Arabidopsis thaliana: one gene and its partner. The protein of the gene in region 1 binds, or shares a complex with, the protein of each later gene. Each region holds a gene or a part of one and is shown on either strand. Other genes may lie near its edges. The genes, in order: JAL22 and BGLU21.

Region 1 (5,440 bases):
TTTTCGTTCTTTTAGTATATTAAAGGATAGGATCATCATAATTCACAATTAACTGTTGGAGAAAGATTTTTTTTTTTGAGAAACGTTAAACCTAGCAGCCCTAATCTTTTCTAAGAGAGGAGATCGAGACTCTGTTCTGAATCAATAACCATCGATCAATCTCAACTCTAAAAGATGTCTAATACTCAGACCAAGTCGTTGTGTTTGGACGGTCTTAGTGATCGCGAAATACTTGAGTATAGGTATTGATCGATTCTTCTTGTAAACTTTGTTCCAATTATTTTTTTGCCTGATAATCTCTGACTATATATGTTATTTCTTATTCTTCCTGGATTTTCAGATTGGAATGGGAAAATTACACCGAAATCATGATGAAAAGTGATGGAAATTGCCAGGTAATTAATGTTTCTATATCAAACAATCAACTTGATATATATTTTTGATCGTATTATGAATAACCCTTTTTCATGTTTTTGTCAATAATTCTATTTCAGTTCCGTGCTTTGGCGGATCAACTTTATCAAAATTCGGATTGTCATGAACTTGTTAGACAAGAAATCGTAAAACAGGTAATATCAATCTTCAAACTTTTGATTGTTTTTTTCATACGTGTATTAATGTCATATGATGATTGATTGATTGATGACTCTCAGCTTAAAACTCATCCGAAGATTTACAAAGGGTTTGTTGATCATATGGACTTCTCCCATAAAGAACATGTCATTGTCCACTAATTCCCAATGGGGCGATGAAGTGACTTTGAGAGTGGCTGCTGATGTGTATCAAGTAAAAATAATACTCATTACATCAATCAAACTTATTCCATTTATGGAGTTTTTGCCCAAGTCTCAAAAGGAACCGGACAAAGTCATTCATATGAGCTATCTAGCTGGGATCCATTTCAACTCCATCTACAAAAAAAATAAAGAAAAAGGTTAACGTTCTCTTCCTTCTCCATTGTATATACATCTCATCTCCTTACTCTTGATTTGAGGCTTTGAGCAATATTGTATCATTCTTATTCTTCGTCTTGTTGGCTGCTTCAGGTTCACGTTCATCTTCATCATCGAGTTCTGCAGTCTGGATGAAGCTACAGAGGAAGAAGGAGAATGAGGCGAAGAAAAAGGAGGAGGAGGAGAAGGAAAGGAAGGACATGGAGAAGGAGGAGAAGAAAAAGGACAAGGAGGATAAGAAGAAGGATAAGGAGGATAAGAAGAAAGCCAAGGTGCAGAAAGAGAAGAAGGAGAAGAAGGAGAAGAAGAACAGAAATCACCACTTTCACTATTCTGAATGATTTGTTTTGATAAATTAAGTGTATCTGCATTTGACAAGTTGTATGTTATTATTGGGATCATTGTGGTTGTTTTGACTCTTTTATGTTCTTTTCGAGCTTATTCTAGTTTTGAGCCTTAGATACTGATAATCATAAAACACAACATGATAATGTGAAAGAGTCATCATGACATAACATCAGCGTCCCAAAATAACTTGACCATCGTCTCCATGGTATCCAACCGTCGATCCTCAACGACTCCAAAAAGCAAGGACATGAATATATGATGATGATAAGCCAAACTTTTGCATGAACACAGTTTATACAAAATTTAAATAACTGTTAAATTCATTTGAAACTTTAATGAATGATATTTCTGACAGTAACTTAGGAAATAAAGCTTATACACCGTTTTAGTTTGAAGATAATAATTCTAAATCTGTTTTCAAAATGTGCAGTCAAAAAGATTCTTAATACTAAATAGGAGATTTTGGTGGGAATCGCAACATTAACATCATCAAATTTGTTTTAGTTAACAATATATTGAATTTGGTTTATGCTGTTTTGATGAATTGTTTTGTTCATCTGTCGTACTTTAAAATATCTCTGCATCTAGAAAGTTGTATGCTATTATTATATATTGCACTCGTAATGGACTCTAATTATTTGTTGCATTTGTGAGGGAGTCTCTCGTGTCACACGAGTTGATTATTAAAATGATTAATTAAAGACAATCAAGAAGACCTTGTATGCCAAAGATTGTCAATAAATACACACAATTCAATACCCATAAGCTTCATCTCCTTCCATCATTCAGAGCTCAATAATTAACTGGTTATCTCTCTCCCTTCAATTTTTTTTTTTTTTTTTTTTTTTAAAGTAACTCCTAGTTTCCACTACTATGTATGTTGCTTCACAAAATGTTTTTAAAACAAGAAGTAGCTCTTTATATGTAGATATGTATTCTTGAATATATTAGATTTAACAAACACTTTTAAACCTAATTGATTGATTTATATTACACCACATCACCAATAATAGAGCTATCAACATCAAACAGTAAATATTTACCCATGATCAGTTGATTGTTCTATTTGTGTTTCTTGGATCATTTTGGTGTTTTTGCTATGTATTTGAATAGGCTATACAGTGTTATCATGGTATTTATGTATTACTAACCACAAACCAGCTTTAAAAACTATATATAAAGCTGTACATATATACTTTCGTTTTTGGATTATCTATATAAGAAGTAATTTTTGCATTTTACAATATTTTTTAGATTCGAAATGGCGAAGATGTACCGGAAGTTGGCACTCTGCGGTGGTGAGGGAGGACAAGAATGGGACGACGATGTATATGAGGGTGTAAGAAAAGTGTATGTAGGGCAAGATCTCAACCGTATCACTTACATCAAGTTTGAGTACGTGCAGGAAGACGGCGAAGTAGTAACAACTGAATATGGGACAACAAATCAGCACCCTAAAGAGGTTCTCATTGCATTTATTCTCACCCTTAATTTTTTGCGATACTAGTAAATTACTCTTGTGAATTCGGATTAACGTTGGATAAATCCTTTAAGACATAAACAAGAAGAAGCAAGTATTTCTGAGGCGGATACCCTTTAGTGACTCTCTAATTTTTTTGTATTACACTACTTGTGTAAATGAATAAGACACAAACACTAAGACAACGTTATAAAACCAAAACTCAGATACTGTATATTAGGACTAGGAAATCTTGAGAATTATCCTAAACCTATCAATATTAAATACTATAAATTTTATTGAATATATGTTACTATTACATACAGTTTGTAATTCAATACCCGGACGAACACATCATAGCAGTGGAGGGAAGTTACCACCAAGTGGCTCTCATTGCCACAGAGGTGATTACGTCCCTCGTCTTCAAGACCTCAAAGGGTAGAAAGTCTCCATTGTTTGGTCCAAACTTACTTGGAATTACGACCGGTACAAAGTTTGTTTTTGAGGATGAGGGAAAGAAGATCGTAGGGTTTCATGGACGGGCAGGTGATGCTGTCGACGCTCTTGGAGTTTACTTTGTATTGGATACCACGCCGTTCCCTCTTTACAAGCTTGATGCCCAAGGTGGTACAGACGGGCGTGTTTGGGATGATGGTTCTTACGATGGCATTAAAACGCTGCGTATTGATCAAGATAATTCTCGTATCACTTATTTAGAGGTTGAGTACGAGAAAGACGGGGAAGCAAAAACATGTAACCATGGGGGGAAAGGAGATACACCATCCGAGGTAACTTTACTAGTTCTTCTTATACACGACTAGTTCAATAATTTCTCAAAAATGTTATAAATTGTTAAACTCTATTTATATGTGATCATTAGTACAACGACATAAATTAGGTTCCAAATATCAATGATTAATTATTGTGTTTGTAGATTCTTTGCAGTAGTATGAAGTATAACTCTCACACACTCCGGTTCAAATTTTTGTAGATATAATTGACACATGTATTTAGATCTCTTAAGACAAAAAGTCTTCTTATTTTGTTGCTTCTTGTTGCAGTTTGTGCTTGGTTACCCAGATGAATACATCAAATCGGTGGAAGCAACCTATCAGAAGCCAAACATTTTTAGCAATACGGCAATTACGTCACTTAAGTTCTTAACATCAAAGGGGAGAACATCATTCTTTGGGTATAATGTGGGTAAGAAGTTTGTGTTGGAGCAAAAGGGTCATAGGCTTGTCGGGTTCCATGGAAAGGAAGATGCAGCTATTGATGCTCTTGGAGCATATTTTGGACCTGTTCCTACTCCTACTCCCTTGATTCCATCTAAGAAACTACCAGCGATAGGCGGCAACGAAGGAGTTACATGGGATGATGGTGTCTACGACGGTGTAAGGAAGATACTTGTAGGACAAGGTAACGATGGTGTATCCTTTGTCAAATTTGAGTACAGTAAGGGCAAAGACCTTGTACCCGGAGATGACCATGGGAAGAAGACATTACTCGGAGCTGAAGAGGTCATTTAAAAACAACAATTTTTTTTTTTTTTTTTCAATTCATTCTAGATTATTTACACTTATCCTTTGTTGGTTTTGAATCTTTGCAGTTTGTGCTTGAAGATGGTGAATATCTCATGAACATAGATGGCTACTACGATAAGATCTTCGGAGTTGAGGAACCAATAATTGTATGTCTTCAGTTTAAGACCAACAAAAGGGAGTCAATGCCGTTTGGAATGGATTCTGGTAAGAAGTTCTCGCTTGGAGAGGAAGGCCACAAGATCGTTGGATTCCATGGACAAGCTAGTGATGTTGTTCACAGCATCGGAGTCACTATCGTGCCCATCACCACCACCGAGTGAAAACCAGTTAGTCATATATACTACATGAAACTTCCAATAAGATTGGAGTGTGTGTGTGTGTGTGTTCTCTTTACTATGTTACTTTTAATACGTGGTTGTAAGTTCAAGTAACTTACTGTGTGCTAATAATTCCAATAAGATTGGCTTGTGATTTCTTGTTATTTACTGCCAAAAAATTAATCTGGTTCTAAAAATCTACATGCCTATTAATTTCAATAAATCCCCTAATCAATTCTAGTTATTTTATTAGTTAGCATAAATAGAAAAAAAATACCACATTATTATTACAAATCACTAAGATTTATTAGTCCACATTATATTTTACTGATAATTATCAAAGCATGGTACTATTTAAAACCTCAAACAAGTTAGCAATTAAAAATCTCACAGAGACTGATTATCTTATTTGTTTTAATTAAGAGAAAGGCAAAAACAAAATTGAGTAATGCTTGCTTACCAAAATATACAGCTAAAAAAGACAATTTTAGGCCCACAATAAAAAACAATCAAAAAGGCCCGCTCCTTCAAAAAGATTTAAAAAGTGAACGGACTCAATTTCCCATATTACCCTTCATTGCTACTCGAATTTACGGAGAAACCCTGTTTCTCTGTCCTTACGCCTTTCTCTCTCCGTTACACTGCCGCCGTAACGCTTTCTTCCTTCTTGTAAAAAAAGTCTCTCCGTTTAACTAAACGCCGTAAAAAAACTCAGCTTTGATAATATCGGTTTTGATTTTTGATTGAGTTTCCCTCCATATCTCCTCGATTTCCGATTTTGAGGAATCAATCTCTCTGTTTATACGGTAAACTTCATAA
Region 2 (5,852 bases), on another chromosome or scaffold:
CCATCCAAATGATCCAATTAAATTCAGCCAAATAAGTTTCAAAATTTAGCTTAAATTTTCAAAGTCATCCAGATGATTTATTTGGATAGATCATCTGAATGAACCGTTTTTGGCACCAAACGAACATCAAAACTCATCTCTATCTAGATGATCCATCTGACTGATGAAACGAACACGGCCTAAGTCCATCCGCGATAAAGAGGGATGAGCTTTAAGTTATATTTTGAGGATTTTTATTTCTGTTCAATAAAAAAAACAACTCAACGTTTATGCATGATGAATATTATACGTTCAAGATTTAGAAAAATAAAAAACAACTCAACGTTTATATATCGTGCAATGAAATCATCCAATTTAAAATATTTAATAATAGTCCTTCTGTATAACAACCACTAGTGTTCTTGTGGAATTTTTATTTTGTTTCAAAAAAAAACATGTTATTTTAAATTTCCAATTTTACTTTTCAAATAAACTTCCACGTTTATTCTTTAATTTATTCATATTTTTGTTTTAAATTTAACACTCACTCTGATTCATTATATAGGATATTTCAGAGATTTATTTAGGATGTTTTACTAATATCAATGCAATTTTTAAATATATTTTATTTGATTATTTGACTATTGGTTTGTATTTTGTATTTTTAATATCAAGAGAACAAATTTTATAATTAAAAATAAATTTCTTAAAGTGTGTGTTTTAATCTAAAACATCATATAATTTGAAATAGAGGAAATATCATCTAATAAAGTAATGGTATATTTGTATAGTTAATGATTTGTCTTTTTATTCGCGCAAAATGTGTCAATTATAAAATATAAAGAGGATATAATTTAGTTTAGAGTTTTAGACACGAGGACTATATATTGGAAAACAAAAAAGTAATGTAAACCATATAGATCATGGAATGAGTCATCCTATTAAACAGTTGTATTATATATTTATATTTTAGTCACTAACACATTAATAACTTAACGTCCATAACAAAATAAGATCCAAAACTCGATCTAGATCTATACGAGGCACTAAATGATCCATTGACTTAGGGCCGGCCGATTGGTTCGAGGACTCCTCATGCTGTAAACTTTTTTTTTGGACATACATGATATATTTTTAAGTCACGTTTTTATATTATATGTTCCACGCCCAATATAATATGTTCCAAACTAGGAAAAATAAGTAAGAATTAGTCAATGATCGAGATAATGCAATGAATCATCCTATTTATTAAATAGATTTACTAAACTATATATAATACAATGATCGAGATCGTGCCATGAAGCATCCTATATACTATAAAAATAGTCTTACTAAATACATACTCATATAGTTTAGTCATTCATTAGTCCAAACATTAAATGAGAGATCCTTTACTTGCTACCTGAATTTTTTCAGAATAAGGTATAACTTTTTTTCGAATTAGAAACTGATTTATGAAAGATTAAGAGTAATGTTCGTTAAACAAGTTAAAAAATATGTTTTTACAATTAAGTTTTGAAAAATAATAAAGTCTCCAATTATTTGAGTATCAAAAATAGGCTTGTTATTATTTAGGGTTTTCGTTGGTTTAAATGCAACGGGGTGTGGTTGTCATTGTGGAAGTTAATGGAAGTAATTGGTTGAGGTTTTAAACGTTATCGGACATTTTAAATGACTGGTTTACAGTTAAAAATATGTGTATTTACGGCAATTTTATGATTGGCTTAGCAGTAGATGCGACAGTGGTTTAAACCAAAAATTACCAAATAAATAATATACAATTATTAAATTATATAAAACACCAATATTATATATTTATATATATATGAACATAGTTAATTATCGAAACCATAGACAAAGTACATAAGAGTTATTCCGAAAAAGGTTTATTATGAAACACAAATAATCATATTGGGAGATTATGATATCCAAAATGGACTAATCAAATAATTAAATCCAAAATGGATGAAGAACTTATATTAGTTCCACGCACAATATAATATGTTCCAAACTAAGTAAGAACACAACGGTCGAGGTCATGCAATGAATCATCCTATATATAAAATAGTTTTACTAAACAATTATATTTTAGTCACTCGTTAACAAACAATCAAAATCGCTATATAAAGAACTCCGATTGGATGTAAACAAATCATCATAAACTTGTTCTCTTCCAGAAGAAACTAAAAACAAAAATGGCATTGCAAAAGTTTCCTCTCATGGGGCTGCTTTTGCTCCTAACCATCCTCGTCTCTGTGACAACAGCGGTTGATGATCCTGTTTGCCCGGCGACTTCCAAGCTAAGCCGAGCAAGTTTCCCTAATGGGTTTTTGTTTGGCACGGCTACTGCTGCGTTTCAGGTACAACAGATTTACTAAATCATAGTTCAAAAAACAAAAAGTAGTGTCGTTATTGTGTTTCTATCTGAATTCAAATCCATATTTTTAAAATATGGTTTTTTTTTATGTAAAAGTTGCTCAAAATATGTTATACCTATCATTTGAAATCATTTGTGCATGTGATATTCCTCAACTCATCAACTATTTTTTGTTATGTCATTAGGTCGAAGGTGCAATTAATGAAACTTGTCGTGGACCGGCTCTATGGGATATCTACTGTAGAAGAAATCCAGGTGAGTGTACTCGTATAATCTACATTCTCAATACAGTATGTTTAAATATTAAATTAAATTTAACTAATTAATATCAATACATAGCCATTAATTTTCTTAATTACTTTCAAATTACAGAGAGATGTAGTGGCGACCACGCCGATGTGGCCGTTGATTTCTTCCATCGTTATAAGGTATATATTAATATAAATTTAAGACAAACATAACTTATATTCTCGAGATGTTATTGAAATTTTGCCTTGTCTTAAAAATGTTTGTAGGAAGATATTCAGCTAATGAAGAATCTAAACACAGATGCATTCAGACTCTCAATCGCATGGTCAAGAATATTTCCTCGTGAGTATATGTCTGCAGATCTCTAGTTTGATTTTGTTTTAATCGAATTTGGTGAAATTAGATTTATGTGATTGTTATATAATACTAATAACCAATGAATTTAGATGATGTATATGTGAATGTTGAAGTATCAATAACTAATGAAACAAACTGTAATGCTTTATTAGATGGGAGAAAGGAGAAGGGAGTGAGTCAAGCTGGTGTGCAATTCTACCACGAGCTCATCGATGAACTCCTTAAAAATGGTTATATACATATAAAATACCTAGTTCACAAAAATACAAGTAATATAGTATCCTTATTTAACATTTCTTTCTATTTTACGTCATAAATAGGTATAGTTCCGTTTGTGACTGTTTTCCATTGGGACACTCCACAAGATTTGGAAGACGAATATGGCGGTTTCTTAAGCCAAAACATTGTGTATGTTTTTGTAAATTAAACAAAATACATTTAGTTAAGTTTATATGGAAATTATTAATTTGGTATCTTTTTTTTTTGCAAAAATACAGGAAAGATTTTCGAGAATATGCAGATTATGTTTTCACTGAATACGGTGGAAAAGTGAAAAACTGGATCACTTTCAACGAGCCATGGGTCTTTGCTCACGCAGGTTACGACTTAGGAAAGAAAGCACCAGGACGTTGTTCTCGCTACGTTCCAGGTTGCGAAGACCGAGAGGGACAATCTGGTAAAGAGGCTTATCTAGTCAGTCACAATCTCCTCAACGCTCACGCAGAAGCTGTTGAAGTTTTCCGCCAAAAGGTAGTTTACATTAGATATAAATCATAATTAATTATCAGGTCACATTAGATATAAATCACAATTAATTATCAGGTTTCGAATCTTAAAATAGGTTGTTTTGTGTTGTGTTTATGGACATAGGTTAAAGGTGGGAAAATCGGAATCGCACATAGTCCGGCTTGGTTCGAACCACATGATCTTAAAGATTCAAATGACGCTCCAACTGTTAGCCGTGTACTTGACTTTATGTTGGGATGGTAAGTATATATTATGTTAGAAAATGGTTTCTCGTATATAATTTCATAAAAATTAATGTAGTTATTAATTTTGTGTAGGCATCTGGAGCCAACTACTTCGGGAGATTATCCACAAATCATGAAAGACCTTCTTGGTTACAGATTGCCTCAATTTACTGCTGCACAAAAAGCAAAATTGAAAGATTCGACCGATTTCGTAGGGCTTAACTACTATACTTCGACATTTTCAAATTATAATGAGAAGCCAGATCCGTCTAAACCAAGTTGGAAGCAAGATTCTCTTGTTTCCTGGGAACGTAAGTTTTTTTTTGTTTTCCGTACATGAAACCAAACCAAGAAACTAAAGATAAAAGGTTTTATAATACTAATTGATATGCATACATTTTCACTTTTTATTTTTCAGCTAAGAATGTAGATCACAGCGCCATTGGTAGCATGGTAAGCGTTTGATTAAACTAGTCCTAGTTTGTGATTGTTAATTTTTGTCTACGACATAACATTTTCACCATTGCTTTATTTCAGCCTCTTACTGCTGCATTGCCCGTCTACGCTAAAGGATTTAGAAAGCTTTTAAAGTACATCAAGGACAAATACGCAAACCCGGAGATTATGATAATGGAAAATGGTAACTCGAGATTTATTGTTATATTTGTGTGTTGATTTAATCTTAACTCTTAAGAGTAATATACTGATCATTATAATGTTGTTTTTTCTAGGATATGGAGATAAACTTGGGACCACAGATTCGGTTGACGTTGGTACTGCTGATCATAACAGGAAATATTATCTTCAGAGGCATCTTCTGGCTATGAACGAGGCTATTTGGTAAGCCTTTTATTATTTGATAGATTGACTAACGATTCTATTGAATGGTCTAATTAAGAACATAATTGTGTTTGTGCAGCATCGATAAGGTGAGAGTTACGGGATACTTTGTATGGTCATTGTTGGATAACTTCGAATGGCAAGATGGTTACAAAAACAGATTCGGACTCTATTACGTCGATTTCAAAAATAACCTCACACGTTATGAGAAAGAATCAGCCAAGTATTACAAAGATTTCCTCGCTCAAGGTGTTCGTCCATCCGCACTCAAGAGGGATGAGCTTTAAGTTATATTTTGAGGATTTCGTTTTCTATTCGATGTTTTTCCTATGTTTTAGTTTGTGATTGACCACGCACGATTCATGAGTCGTGGTTAATAATAATAAAAGTGTTTCGTTTTCCTTCAATCTCTAGCTTATTCGACAAGATCAAGAAGGCTTTAGTTTTAATGACGTTATCCTTTTTGAGAATCAATATGTGAAGTTAAATATGTTTTACCTTCCAAACTTGAAGAAAAATTGAATCATACAACCTTAACATTAAAAAATTTATGAGTTACAAAATGATGTAAGAAAATATCATTAGTTTTAGAAAATTAAAAATACGAATTTACCTCTATACATAGAAATAGATTAGGAAATAATTTGACGTCGTCTTAACAACTAAGTACAAACATTTCAAAAACTAACAACTTAAACGTTGGCGATGAAATAAACAATGGCAATTCATTTTCCCAAACAGTTCTAATATTTTATTTTTGAAAGTCACTAGTTTAGATTAAAAAACAGGACGACCAGCAAGAGAAGATATCTCTTTTTCACTCATTTGGCCAAGCGTATTTTCTATATACCTTAAGGAAATAAAATCCATGCATGATGCAACCAAATAAATCCACCATGCAATACCAACATCATTCATTACTTTGGAAATTCATATTTCATTCTTAGCAAGCAAAAAAAAACAAAAAAAAACAATCAAACGTATGTGTTAATAATGAAATCATCACATTCTATCTTACTAGTAGTCACTTATCAAAAACGATTTATGTAAATAGTGATTTTCAAGATTTTTTTTTTAAA

Evidence for each region.
Region 2: JAL22 (region 1) and BGLU21 share a complex: the UniProt entries of both Arabidopsis thaliana proteins name them as parts of the PYK10 complex.

The regions. Positions count from the first base shown.
Region 1 is NC_003071.7:16,413,446-16,418,885, reverse strand, and holds JAL22 (jacalin-related lectin 22), read left to right. Parts: upstream 1-2,040; 5' UTR 2,041-2,107; intron 2,108-2,148; exon of another isoform or gene 2,149-2,555; 5' UTR 2,556-2,562; coding exon 2,563-2,763; intron 2,764-3,086; coding exon 3,087-3,548; intron 3,549-3,821; coding exon 3,822-4,280; intron 4,281-4,369; coding exon 4,370-4,624; 3' UTR 4,625-4,852; downstream 4,853-5,440. Other genes in the region: AT2G39320 (Cysteine proteinases superfamily protein), read left to right, coding at 369-395, 495-569, 715-934, 1,047-1,294. UniProt on the Arabidopsis thaliana protein: Inhibitor-type lectin that may regulate the correct polymerization and activation of BGLU23/PYK10 upon tissue damage.
Region 2 is NC_003070.9:24,699,318-24,705,169, reverse strand, and holds BGLU21 (Glycosyl hydrolase superfamily protein), read left to right. Parts: upstream 1-2,003; 5' UTR 2,004-2,174; coding exon 2,175-2,339; intron 2,340-2,541; coding exon 2,542-2,611; intron 2,612-2,728; coding exon 2,729-2,784; intron 2,785-2,871; coding exon 2,872-2,947; intron 2,948-3,114; coding exon 3,115-3,192; intron 3,193-3,282; coding exon 3,283-3,370; intron 3,371-3,459; coding exon 3,460-3,712; intron 3,713-3,832; coding exon 3,833-3,948; intron 3,949-4,026; coding exon 4,027-4,244; intron 4,245-4,351; coding exon 4,352-4,386; intron 4,387-4,470; coding exon 4,471-4,573; intron 4,574-4,664; coding exon 4,665-4,773; intron 4,774-4,852; coding exon 4,853-5,060; 3' UTR 5,061-5,302; downstream 5,303-5,852. UniProt on the Arabidopsis thaliana protein: Beta-D-glucosidase active on scopolin >> esculin >> 4-MU-glucoside > DIMBOA-glucoside. No activity with pNP-glucoside, oNP-glucoside and sinigrin as substrates.